2 linked regions of the Danio rerio genome follow. The protein of the gene in region 1 interacts with the protein of each later gene in a pairwise test. Links are inferred from orthologs where the notes say so. Each region holds a gene or a part of one and is shown on either strand. Other genes may lie near its edges.

What was found.
Region 2: the proteins of abtb1 (region 1) and eef1a2 interact in binary tests that used the Homo sapiens proteins (3 or more experiments, as listed by UniProt). The two-hybrid records come from large-scale screens. The link is inferred for Danio rerio from reciprocal best matches to the Homo sapiens genes ABTB1 and EEF1A2.

What each region holds. Positions count from the first base shown.
Region 1 is NC_133183.1:8,648,082-8,653,967, forward strand, and holds part of abtb1 (ankyrin repeat and BTB/POZ domain-containing protein 1), read left to right. Parts: intron 1-1,752; coding exon 1,753-1,851; intron 1,852-2,035; coding exon 2,036-2,203; intron 2,204-5,886. UniProt on the Homo sapiens protein: May act as a mediator of the PTEN growth-suppressive signaling pathway. May play a role in developmental processes.
Region 2 is NC_133198.1:17,397,929-17,403,814, reverse strand, and holds part of eef1a2 (elongation factor 1-alpha 2), read left to right. Parts: intron 1-4,631; 5' UTR 4,632-4,679; coding exon 4,680-4,823; exon of another isoform or gene 4,824-4,827; intron 4,828-5,886. UniProt on the Homo sapiens protein: Translation elongation factor that catalyzes the GTP-dependent binding of aminoacyl-tRNA (aa-tRNA) to the A-site of ribosomes during the elongation phase of protein synthesis.

The sequences.
Region 1 (5,886 bases):
TTCTTATAACGGATTTATTTTATCTTTGCCATGATGGCAGTGAATAATATTTGACTAGATATTTTTTAAGACACTTCTATACAGCTTAAAGTGACATTTAAAGGCTTAACTAGGGTATTTAGGTTAACTAGGCAGGTTAGGGTAATTAGGCAAGTTATTGTATAATGATGGTTTGTTCTGTAGATTATTTATATATATATATATATATATATATATATATATATATATATATATATATATATATATATATATATATATATATATATATATATATATATATATAAATTATCTGTAATAATGTGTATATATTTGGGAGCAGTTTATCAGGAAGTCATTTGACTCATTGGATGGAAACAGTGCTTTTTTAGCAGATGTTTTGTGCGATATTCCAGTTTTGTACATAAGTCTAATTAAAAATAAGCTACTGACATTCCTGATTGCTACTGACATATTAATAATTATACTCCCAAAACTAAGTGGAACGGTTTTATTGTTACTTTATTACATTTTATTTGTTTTACTAGATTTAGAATTAATTAAAAGTGTTTTATACAGTTTTGCATCTTTGTTTTACAACTTTCCGTTGTTGTTTTTTTCAACCAAAACCATACTGTATCAGATTTTTGATAGAAGTGAATTTGTTTGGCAAAAGCCAGTGCTATTCAAAGCTGGACCAATATTTTTGCAAAGTTGCTGAAAAAGCATAAAAGCTGATATTTTCTATCTTATACAGTAAATCTGATTTCTAGTTAATTTGATTATTTATTGATATTTTTTTGTACAAGTAGACGGTTTCATGGCATCTACTTATATATTTGATATATATTTGTATGTATATGTATTATGTATATATTTTTAATATGTTTCATGTTTATTATGTTTCATAATTTGAATAAATTATTGATCTTAAAAATTAAAAACAGAAGAGAAATTGGTTGAAATTGAAATAACCTAAAACCTTTAAACAGTTTCGAAATTTAATTTGATTGCAAAAATATTCACTTTCATTTTAAGAAAAAAGTTTAATGCTTTAATGTTTTGTCAAAATGTGATAAACTGTTGAAAGCAAAATTATAAGTAATCATTTGAAATTTTTATTCTTTTCCAAATATCTCAGCAGTGATGTTTATAAAAAAACAGCTTAGGTCAAAATGATTAGCCCTCTTAAGAATTTTCTTTTTAACTACAAAAACCCCTGTTATCCAATGACTTACAAAATTAACCTAGTTAAGGCTTTAAATTGCTCTTTAAATATTATGTATTGTCATCATGGCAAAGACAAAAGATATGAGTTGCTAGAAGTTGTTTATTAAAATGTTTTTAAAACATCTCAGCAGGGAAATATTTGTAAAATAATTCAAATGAAAATTTAATCAGTTCCAAAAGTGTGTGAGATGTGGGGAAAATGCTAAATTTAATTGACCACAGTTGCTTGAAGCTAACATAACTTCATAGATAATTTAGCAAACATTATTAACCGCCACTCCATACACATGTACAAAATAACTCAAAATCTTTAAAAAAAAAACTTGAAAAATTGTAAATAACTAGTAGTTTATTTGCTAAAACTATGCAGATTTTAGACAATTTTTATGCATCCCTTACAGGTCAGAATGGATTTCATTGCATTATAATGGTTAATAATAAAATTTGTTCATCTCTTAACTCTTATACTACATATGTTTTTGTTTCCTTCACTGAACATGTGTTTTATATTGTGACTAATTGAAACTACTGCTGTCTGATTTTCAGGTCGGATACGGTCAGCTTCCATTCGATCTTACTGACAGCTTCCCGAGTTATCCTGACATCTGCTTCCGGGTGGAGGGTTATGACTTCCTATGTCATAAGGTCACTATTTATTAATACTTATAATCATAATCCCTGCCTGTGTATGCTTGAACAGCATTATGGCTCTCTAAAACAATGTTCTAATATCCATCTATTACTCAGAATTAGTTATGAGAATGATGCTGCTTTAATATTGTATTAGTGGTTTTGATTAAAATTGATTGTGTATGTGTGTGTGTTGCAGGCGTTTTTCTGTGGCCGCAGTGATTATTTTAAGGCTCTGTTGGAGGATCATTTCAGCGAGGGAGAAACTCTACAGACTCATCCCAGTATTCCTGTCATCACGCTTCATGATGTGTCCCATGATTTGTTTACAAGAATCCTTTATTACATTTATAGTGACAACACTCAGGTACACAAACACACACACACTTACAGTTACAGACACTGGGCTCTATTTTAATGATCTAGGCGCAAAGTCTAAAGCGCATGGTGTAAAAGCATTAGTGGATGTATAAATGTACTTTTGCTATTTTAAGGGTGGAAAAATACAGTTTGCACCCCAGCGCATGGTCTAACAGGGCTGTGCTTATTCTCTTAATCAGTTATTGGTGTGTTTTGAGCGTAACAAGCTTTACTAGCGAGAAAACAGTTAAACAGTGCATCTGCAGCATGAGGATAAAGAACGAGCCTCCTCCATTTAGCCTCTTACTATCTCTTTACTCCTTTACTTTCATGGAGTAAGGAAATGGTGTTGTACGCACTCCACTGAAGACATCCATTAGCCTACCTATTTAATTTAGCTTGTTAAATTCAAAGGTTTGTTTCAAAACTATTTCTAAAGTCAGTTCTAATTTACAGCAAACAAATAAATGAGCAATAATAACGAAGTGAGGTCAAACAACTGAGTTATACCCAAACACACGTCTTGTTATTATATGGTGATCATATGTGTCATGATTACCAGCAATCTAACCACCAGAGATCGCTGGTAAACATTCATTCTCACATAAACTACAAATCTGCCATGTTATGGACTACAACACCCAGTCATGCCATACACACACAACCGGTTCCAGACTGATTACATACTCACAGCTGAAGCTGCTCACACTGATTATTTGGACTATTTAAACCCATCTGTTCCACACACATGTGCTGAGTATTTTTTAGCTGTTGCTGTCTGTATGTACGTGTTTTTCTTTGTTTCCTGTTTGCTGTGTAATCAGTCTGGATCTGGAACCGGTTGTGTGTGCGAGTGGCATGACTGGGTGTTGTAGTCCATAACATGGCAGATTTGTAGTTCATGTGAGAATGAATGTTTGCCAGCCATCTCTGGTGGTTAGATCGCTGGTAATCATGACAATATGTCTCCAAAACCTGATAGGAGGACAAATCTAAGCTTGTTTTTTATTCAAACAAATATAAATCGGCATATAATAAGTAATACTACTAATAATAATAATAACATTATACAAATGCAGATTGTCGTGAATAAACTAAAAAAAGTTCACCCCCCAAGGTGAAGAAGGCATGGAGGCAGTTGCTTTTATATTTTATTTATTTATATTTTTATTTATTTATATTTATATTTATAAATAAGAATATATATATATGTATATTTTTAGAAAATAATCGTTTTTGTAACATTTTAATCCTTTAATTATTTTTTTTATTTGTAAAGATATTTGTGTATTGCTGTACATCCTGTGTGTATTAAGCAATGTGTAAGTGTTTGGACCTGCATAGACTCTGCACTGGACTTTAGACCTGGGGTCCGTTTTTCGTACGTGGATTACTCAGTTAGCTGGATTTTGATATTGACGATTTGACCCGATCCAGTATCGTTTCGTTCTTCAAAACTCATCTGAGACTTGTTGTCATAGCAACAGATCTGGTAGCTTAAACCTACTTGGGAGCGGGTTCATTTCATATAAACAGGAATAGTTTGGGTCAGTTCAAGTAAAGAAAATACTGAAAGTACTAAATGCTGATATTTTCTTACAGTAGTTATATTCATTCATTCATTCATTCATTCATTTTCTTATCGGCTTAGTCCCTTTATTAATCCGGGGTCGCCACAGCAGAATGAACCGCCAACTTATCCAGCACGTTTTTATGCAGCGGATGCCTTTCCAGCCGCATCCCATCTCTGGGAAACATTCATAAACACTCATTCACCCACACACTCATACACTATGGACAATTTAGCCCACCCAATTTACCTATACCGCATGTCTTTGGACTGTGGGGGAAACCGGAGCACCCGGAGGAAACCCACGCGAACACTGGGAGAACATGCAAACTCCACACAGAAATGTCAACTGAGCCGAGGATCGAACCAGCGACCCAGCGGCCTTCTTGCTGTGAGGCGACAGCACTACCTACTGCGCCACTGCTTCGACATAGTTATATTCACTTAGGAAAAAAGTAAATATATATTTTTAACTATATATATATATATATATATATATATATATATATATATATATATATATATATATATATATATATATATATATGAATAAAACGTATGCAATCTGCACTCTGAAATAAAAGTAAAACATTGCCACCTAGTGGTTCAAAGAGAAAATGTATTAAAATGTACTTTTTAGATACAAATGTCTACATGCTTTACAATATTTGACTTATTTAAAAAATGTATGCAGTCATGCATGAGTTTTGACCGCTAATATGCAGGTGATTTGATGCTTTGCAAAAGTTGCAGGCACCTTTACTGATATCAAAATGCTTTTTTGATGCAAAAATAATAATATAGTTATTCCTGTCACCTATTAAAAAAATTGAGTAGGCCTAGGCTACTATAATAAAGAAAATCTTCTCTAAATGTAGGACTAAATAGATTGATTTGCATTGAAATACATGATGAATACTCTTCTTGACACATGAAAGTGTAAAGCCTGCAGCTCAGAACAAATGTGGAGAGTTATTGCGTGTCATATTTAACAAATTGCTTACTGCTAATTTTATGTAATTTTGCTCACATGTATAATTAAATATGAATCAGATGATGTCATTACGCTGATGTGCCGATGGATCTGTCCTTCAACACACGCAGCGATCTTAGATCAGTTCATCCAGACATTTTAATCTGATTGGCGATCTTGTTTGAAGAACCAAGTTAGCCAGAGATCAGTTATCAAGATGAACAGGTACGAAGAACAGACCCCAGGTTTTGCTTGGTCAATGGCGCAGTCTATTTCAGTTCTTGAAAATGGCAACACGCCAGCAATGTGCCTTAACACACTATCTTTCTAGACCAGCACACACAAGTCCAAAAGTGGCACAAATGGATTTGCTATTTAAACAACGTGGTGCAAAAATTGACAGTTGCGCTGGTCTGAAAATAGCAACAAATCACGCCTTATTGCGCCGGGTGTCTGAAAGGGCCCTATGATAAACACTATATTTCTCAGTGTTGTTATCAGAAGGACATAAATGAACTATTAGCAGAAATTAGCAGAAATGTGGGAAAGTAAATAACTCTCCAGCATTAAAATATATATATTTTTTATGAATGTTGAGATAAAAGTGAAGTGAAATGTGTTCAATAAAATACATTGCTTGATTTAAAATATTAATACTTCATTTTAATAGCAGTACTGTATCATATTTTAATAAAATAAATATATTATTATATTATTGTTATTATATTTATGATACTAAAATATACATTACATTAGCTAAAACAAACAAGCATATGATAATTTACATTGATAAATTTCTATCCATACTTTTGTCAGTTAGGATATATTTAGATTTTTAAACTTCAAATATTTTCCAAATGGTGTTTAACATAGCAAAGAAATTTTTCACAGTATTCCCTATAATATTTTTTTCTTCTGGAGAAAGTCTTGTTTGTTTTATTTCGGCTAGAATGAAAGCAGTTTTTCTTTTTTTTTCTTTTTTCTTTTTTTTCGGCTAGAATGAAAGCAGTTGTTCATTTTAAAGACCACTTTAAGGTTGATATAATTAGCCCCTTAAGCAATATAAATTTTTTTCGACTGTCTACAGAACAAACCATCATTATACAATGACGTCACTTAGTTAAGCCTTTAAATATCAATCTATCTA
Region 2 (5,886 bases), on another chromosome or scaffold:
GTGTGTGTATATATATGTGTATATATATATATTATATTATATTTTTTTATACTATCCACTGCATGTGATTTGAGAAATATGCAGGGTAGAGAAATGCACCGAGTTTGGTTGTTTAAATTCAAATTATACAGCAAGATTTTTTTTTTCAATTACAATTAAGTACCATATTTAAGGATAATTTATTTCCATGAATTCCTGTTATTTCCCACATTTATTCCTGCTAATTCTCATACAAAGTGTACAGCCTTGAACTCCAACAGTCTTCCAGCCTATTCCTGCCATATCTGGGTGCATTCACAGGTTTGGTTTAATAAAGTTAAGTTGTTGTGATAATTCTGTTAGTCCGGTTAGTATGATCAAGTCAAAGCGATGCCATTCATAATTCTTGTAGTCACCAAACAAGTGGACTAGGACCAGTAAAAAAGATTGGTCTCTGTTTATTTTGAAATAAACCCGGTTGTGATTGGACTGCAATATAAAATCAATATAAAGTAGAAGTTAAATCTAAACAAATTAAAACAAATTCTAAAAAAATGTAAAAGATGTTGCTATTTCTTTGTTTTGCGAGACAGAGGAATTCCTGGGGTCTGTTCTTCGTTCGTGATTTACTCTGTTAGCTGGATTTGGTTATTGACAATTTGACATGATCCAGGATTGGTTATGTATTACAAACTGATCCGAGAGTTGTTGTCATAACAGTTCTGGTAGCTTAAACTTGGTCGGAAGCAGGTTCAATCCATATAAACAGAATTAGATCAGCTCAGTTCAAGCAAAGATAATACAGAAAGTACCGATATCTGATATTTATATATATATATATATATATATATATATATATATATATATATATATATATATATATATATATATATATATATATAAAATGCAATCTGCACCAACGAAATGAAAGTACAAAGACTGCAAAGACAAAACCGATTGATATGAACTTTTTACATCGCTTTAGTACAATCTGTGTATGATAATAGAAATGCACAGTATGTGACTTTTTTTAAAAGCAATAATACATTTATGCAGTCATAAACATGTTTTGACAGCTAATATGACAGTGATTTGATGCTTCATAAAAGTTGCTGACGCCTTTACCAATACCAAAATGTTTTTGTAAACATCCAGGTATTCTTTACACCAATTAAAAAACTGGCTACTGTAATACTACTATGATAAGGAAAATCCGCTCTAACTGTAAAACTAAATAAACTGCTCTTGATGCATGAAAGGGCCAAGCATGCAGCCCACAACAAGGTGTAAAGTTATTGCATATCATATTTAACAAACCGAATTTTATGTAATTTAGCTCACATGGATAATTGGATATTAATCAGATGATGTCATTTTGCCTCTGTGCCATCAGCCAATCGTTGCATAGCTGATCATGATTTCGAGGATCGATAGATCAGTCCTTAACAACACACACAGCGATCTCAGATCAGTCCAACCTGACATTCTAATCTGATTCACAAACTTGTTTGAAGAACCAAATTAGCCAGAAATCAGTTATCAAGATGAACAGATCCATGATCAGTAAAAATCATCTTAGATCATTTAAGCGGGCTACGAAGAACAGACCCCTGGTGAGCTTTTGACTCCTTTACGACAGTTTTCTCAAGTTCTCAATGCCTTAAAAGTATATTCTTTTTGTTATGTTTAATTTCATTTTTACAAATGATAGTGTGAATGGTAACCGAACAAGGATTAAATGTATCATGATTTTCTTCCCCAATTTTCTTAGTCCAAACCAAGAATACAATACTACAAGTGAACATACCCTAATACTGAATGTTTAAGTTTATGTTTGTGGGCCTGTTTACACCTGGTTATGTATTACATTTTCTCTGATTGGACAGTATCTTTTTTTGTGAAAATGGTTTCATTTACGTTTGGCCACATAAATGTGTCTCTGCTGATTAAATATGCAGTTGAAATCAGAATTAGTAGCCCCCCCTGATTTATTAGCCCCTGTTTATTTTTTCCCCAATTTCTGTTTAATGGAGAGAAGATTTTTTTGAGTACATTTCTAAACACAATAGTTTTAATAACTCATCTGTAATAACTGATTAATATTTATCTTTAGCCCCTTTTACACATACAGACCTTTCCGTAAAATTACCGACAATTTTCCGGAAAGGTTGTATGTGTGAACAGGTCCTTTTTGAAAATACCGGTAAATTCGTTCTGACTATTTTCCGGAAAGAGAAGTTGTAATTTGCCGGAATGCAGCGCTGTGTAATTGCAGAAGGAAGATTGCCGGAAAGAGCATGTGCACATCTAGAACGTGCTGACGTGAGACGTCTGCTTTAACCAATCCGAACAGTGAGACGCATTCATGTTTGCGCGGTTTATGAGAATAAAAGCCTTTGAATATTTTCCACGACGCATTTAGCTGCTATAAGTTAGTTAGATAACGTTTATATGTTCTTCTTAATGCCAACTGTGTAAATAATCATCGATAAGATGCTTATGATAAACCATTGTTTGTTTACCTTCAAGCTTAGCGTGTGCTCGTGAAACAGCCGTGAACGCCAGCACACACATATTATGAACATCTCGACATGCGAAAGTGATCCTCCATATGTCTTCATCAAAGTTGTTCACAATACTGATCATCCACAGAGTTTGTAATGTAGTCAAATGTTTACAAATACAAGCGCAGGCGTTTAAAGCTCATTTGTGGGGAATGATGTCAGAATTTACCGGTATTTTGGAATGGATGTGTGAACGGTGTTTTCTGGAAAAATTCCGTAACGCCTCGCCTGTGTGAACAGCGCTTTTTTGGAATTTACCGGTAAAGTTGTTCCGAAAATTATCCAGATATTTACCAGTATCACTGTGTGAAAGGCGCTTTTGCCATGATGACAGTAAACAATATTTTGCTAGATATTTTTCAAAACACTTCTATACAGCCTAAAGGGCAATTTAAAGGCTTAACTAGGTTAATTAGGTTAACTAGGCAGGTTAGAGTAATTAGGCAAATTATTGTATAACGATGGTTTGTTCTGTTCACTGTCAAAGAAAAAAATAGCGTAAACGGGTTAACATTTTTGACCTTAAAATGGCTTTTAAAAAATTAAACAGTACTTTTATTCTAGCCCAATTAAAGCAAAAAAATAAGACTTACTCCATAAGTAAAAACAAGATCAAACATACAGTGAAAATTTCCTTGCTCTGTTAAACATAATTTGGGAAATATTTAAAAAAGAAAGAAAAATTCAAAGGGGGGCTAATAATTCTGACTAACTGTAAATCAGAATTTCAAATCCTGCACTATGCAAACTTAACTAGGCAAGTTACTTAAACTAAAGCATCAGATACACCACATTTAATTTATTTATCATTATTTGTTACAGAAAAGCTAAATACAGAGCTCCAGCAGTGCATGGAATTTTGTCTATAGCACACAGTAAAAACTGCTGGGTTTCACAATTGATTTGTGTTGCGACAATATGAAGGAATTAAGTTAACTTAATTCCTTTAAGAAAATTAGTTTTTACTAATTTAAGTGGATTTAACATAATACACTTAGGTTGTCCCAGTAAAATTTAAAGAAATTGTTGTTTCAAGGTATTTTAAATAAGTAGTTTGAACAAAGTTTTGAGTATATATTTTTAAAAACAAAATGTTTACGATCATGATACTTTTAAACTCCATTTTATTTGTTTTTTTTTTCATTCTTATTCTAATTCATTCTAACTGGCAGTCAGTTCCGTCAACCGCAATCACCGGATCGTACCTGTTAAGTAAGGCAAACATGTCAGGATAATATATATTTTTGAGTTTTGGCTTTAAAATTACCACATCAGAGACTGGGTTTTAAAAAGTAGATGAAATACAAACTAAATGTAGAGTTCGTAAAACTATTATTAAGCCATCAAATATGGGAGAGGGAGCAGTTCGAAGCTATTTTATTTATTTTCTTAAAAACAGAAGTAAATTATTTATTGTTGTTCTCATAGTGGCTATTAAACTCCTTCAAAAGGATTTTCAAGCTAAACATTTTTAAACTTATGCAAAGCACAACAGCATTCTGATTTTTCCTTCATTATAAATCATGGAAATTAAGCTTTTTAGTCAGGGAAAAATGTGGGAATTTGATATCTAAAATACCCTGTATATGTCTTATTTGGCATACGAATGATTTCGTAATGTATGTAGGCTATTTGTACGTGTGTTTATGCTCTCACATGTTTATTCATGTATTTTTTTACATTTTGGAAGAAGGAAGATACCACTACATTGCCAGAGATGGGTTGCGGCTGGAAGGGCATCTGCTGCGTAAAAACTTGCTTGATAAGTTGGCGGTTTATTCCGCTGTGGCGACCCCGGATTAATAAAGAGACCAAGTCGACAAGAAAATGAAATGAAATGAAGCCACTACCACTACATGTGATTTCAACAACCAGATGCATTTAGACCTCCACAGTTTCATCTGGAAGCAGTCCCAGACCACCTCCTGAAGTGGTTTTAGCGTTTAGATTAAAATACTTCTTAAATGACTTTCTGCGGGCATGCCCATTTCATAATCAGATAGCTATATAAAATTATGAAGTGACCAGGTGTAAACAGCCTCTATATGTACTAATGTTATTTGCCTTACTTTTGCCTTTTTTTTGCAGACAGAAGAAAGCACCTCTTACTGTTCTCTCTTGCCGCCCCGAGTCAACATGGGGAAAGAGAAGATCCACATCAACATTGTGGTGATCGGCCATGTTGATTCTGGGAAATCAACCACCACTGGGCATCTCATCTACAAATGTGGAGGAATTGATAAAAGAACCATTGAGAAGTTTGAGAAAGAGGCAGCTGAGGTAGGTAAATATGATTTTTGGCTGAGTTTCTATGAGTTCACTTGCATCTTCCATTTTGAATTCGAGTGACCTCATCATTGGTATTGTAAATTTTCTTAATGCGTTCTGAGAATCGTGGTCTCTATTAAAGTATGGGTAATTTCAACCCACTTACAGTGTGGCATATTTGTGTAAGTCTCATTGCGCACCACACTACACCTTCATCTCCGCTCATGAACTGGAGAGTAATTACATTGAGACATTTACTCTTAGGAAGATGCCATATTGGAGATGAAAGGAAAGATAAATGGATTTCTAGAATAGACTGAACCATTAGTCGGGCCCTGCACTTCTGTCTCCTTGACCTTCTCTAAACTGGGAAACAGAGACCCAAGTGAATAAGTCTAATCCCAATGGGTCTTGCAGCTCTGTCTTTGAGGGTAGCTTGTTCTTCATGTAGCAAAATTGTGGTAAAACAGTGTAAAAACAAGGCTCTTGGGGCTGTTGGGTTAGGTACTTCAGTAACTTGGATGAAACATTATTTTTATTTGCATATGTAAATGTGTGTAAATGTATATATTTTTCAGTTTTTTATATTAAGGTCAGTTGTCTTATTGAATATTATTCAGATGTTTAAACAATGTATGTACAATACAATTTTTAAAGTAATATTTTAAGCCTTTTAGTGGAAGTACAGCTGCTGTAGTTTTGTTTATCAAATAAGTGGTTCTAATTGGACTTGCATTGTAAACCAGTAATAAAGGCCCTGTCTGTGTCTTTAGGTTAGACTTAAAAATTGCAAGCAGTTGCGTCTGAATAGTTCTGAACTCTTCAGAACAGTGCCCACCAAGAAAGGTTGCCTATCTATGATATACAAGAAACTTAGCCAGAGAAGGACTATGTTGGATTGCTGTTAAGCAATTCGTAAACATGGGATATGGATGAAGTTGCACAAGGTATACTATTTTGGGATTTGATCTTACATGCTTTCAATCTGAAAACTGTTTTCAGATAATTTGTTTAGTCTCCAAACTAATTTTCGGGTGACAAAATAATTGTTTTAGTTAAGAAGAGATTAATTCTA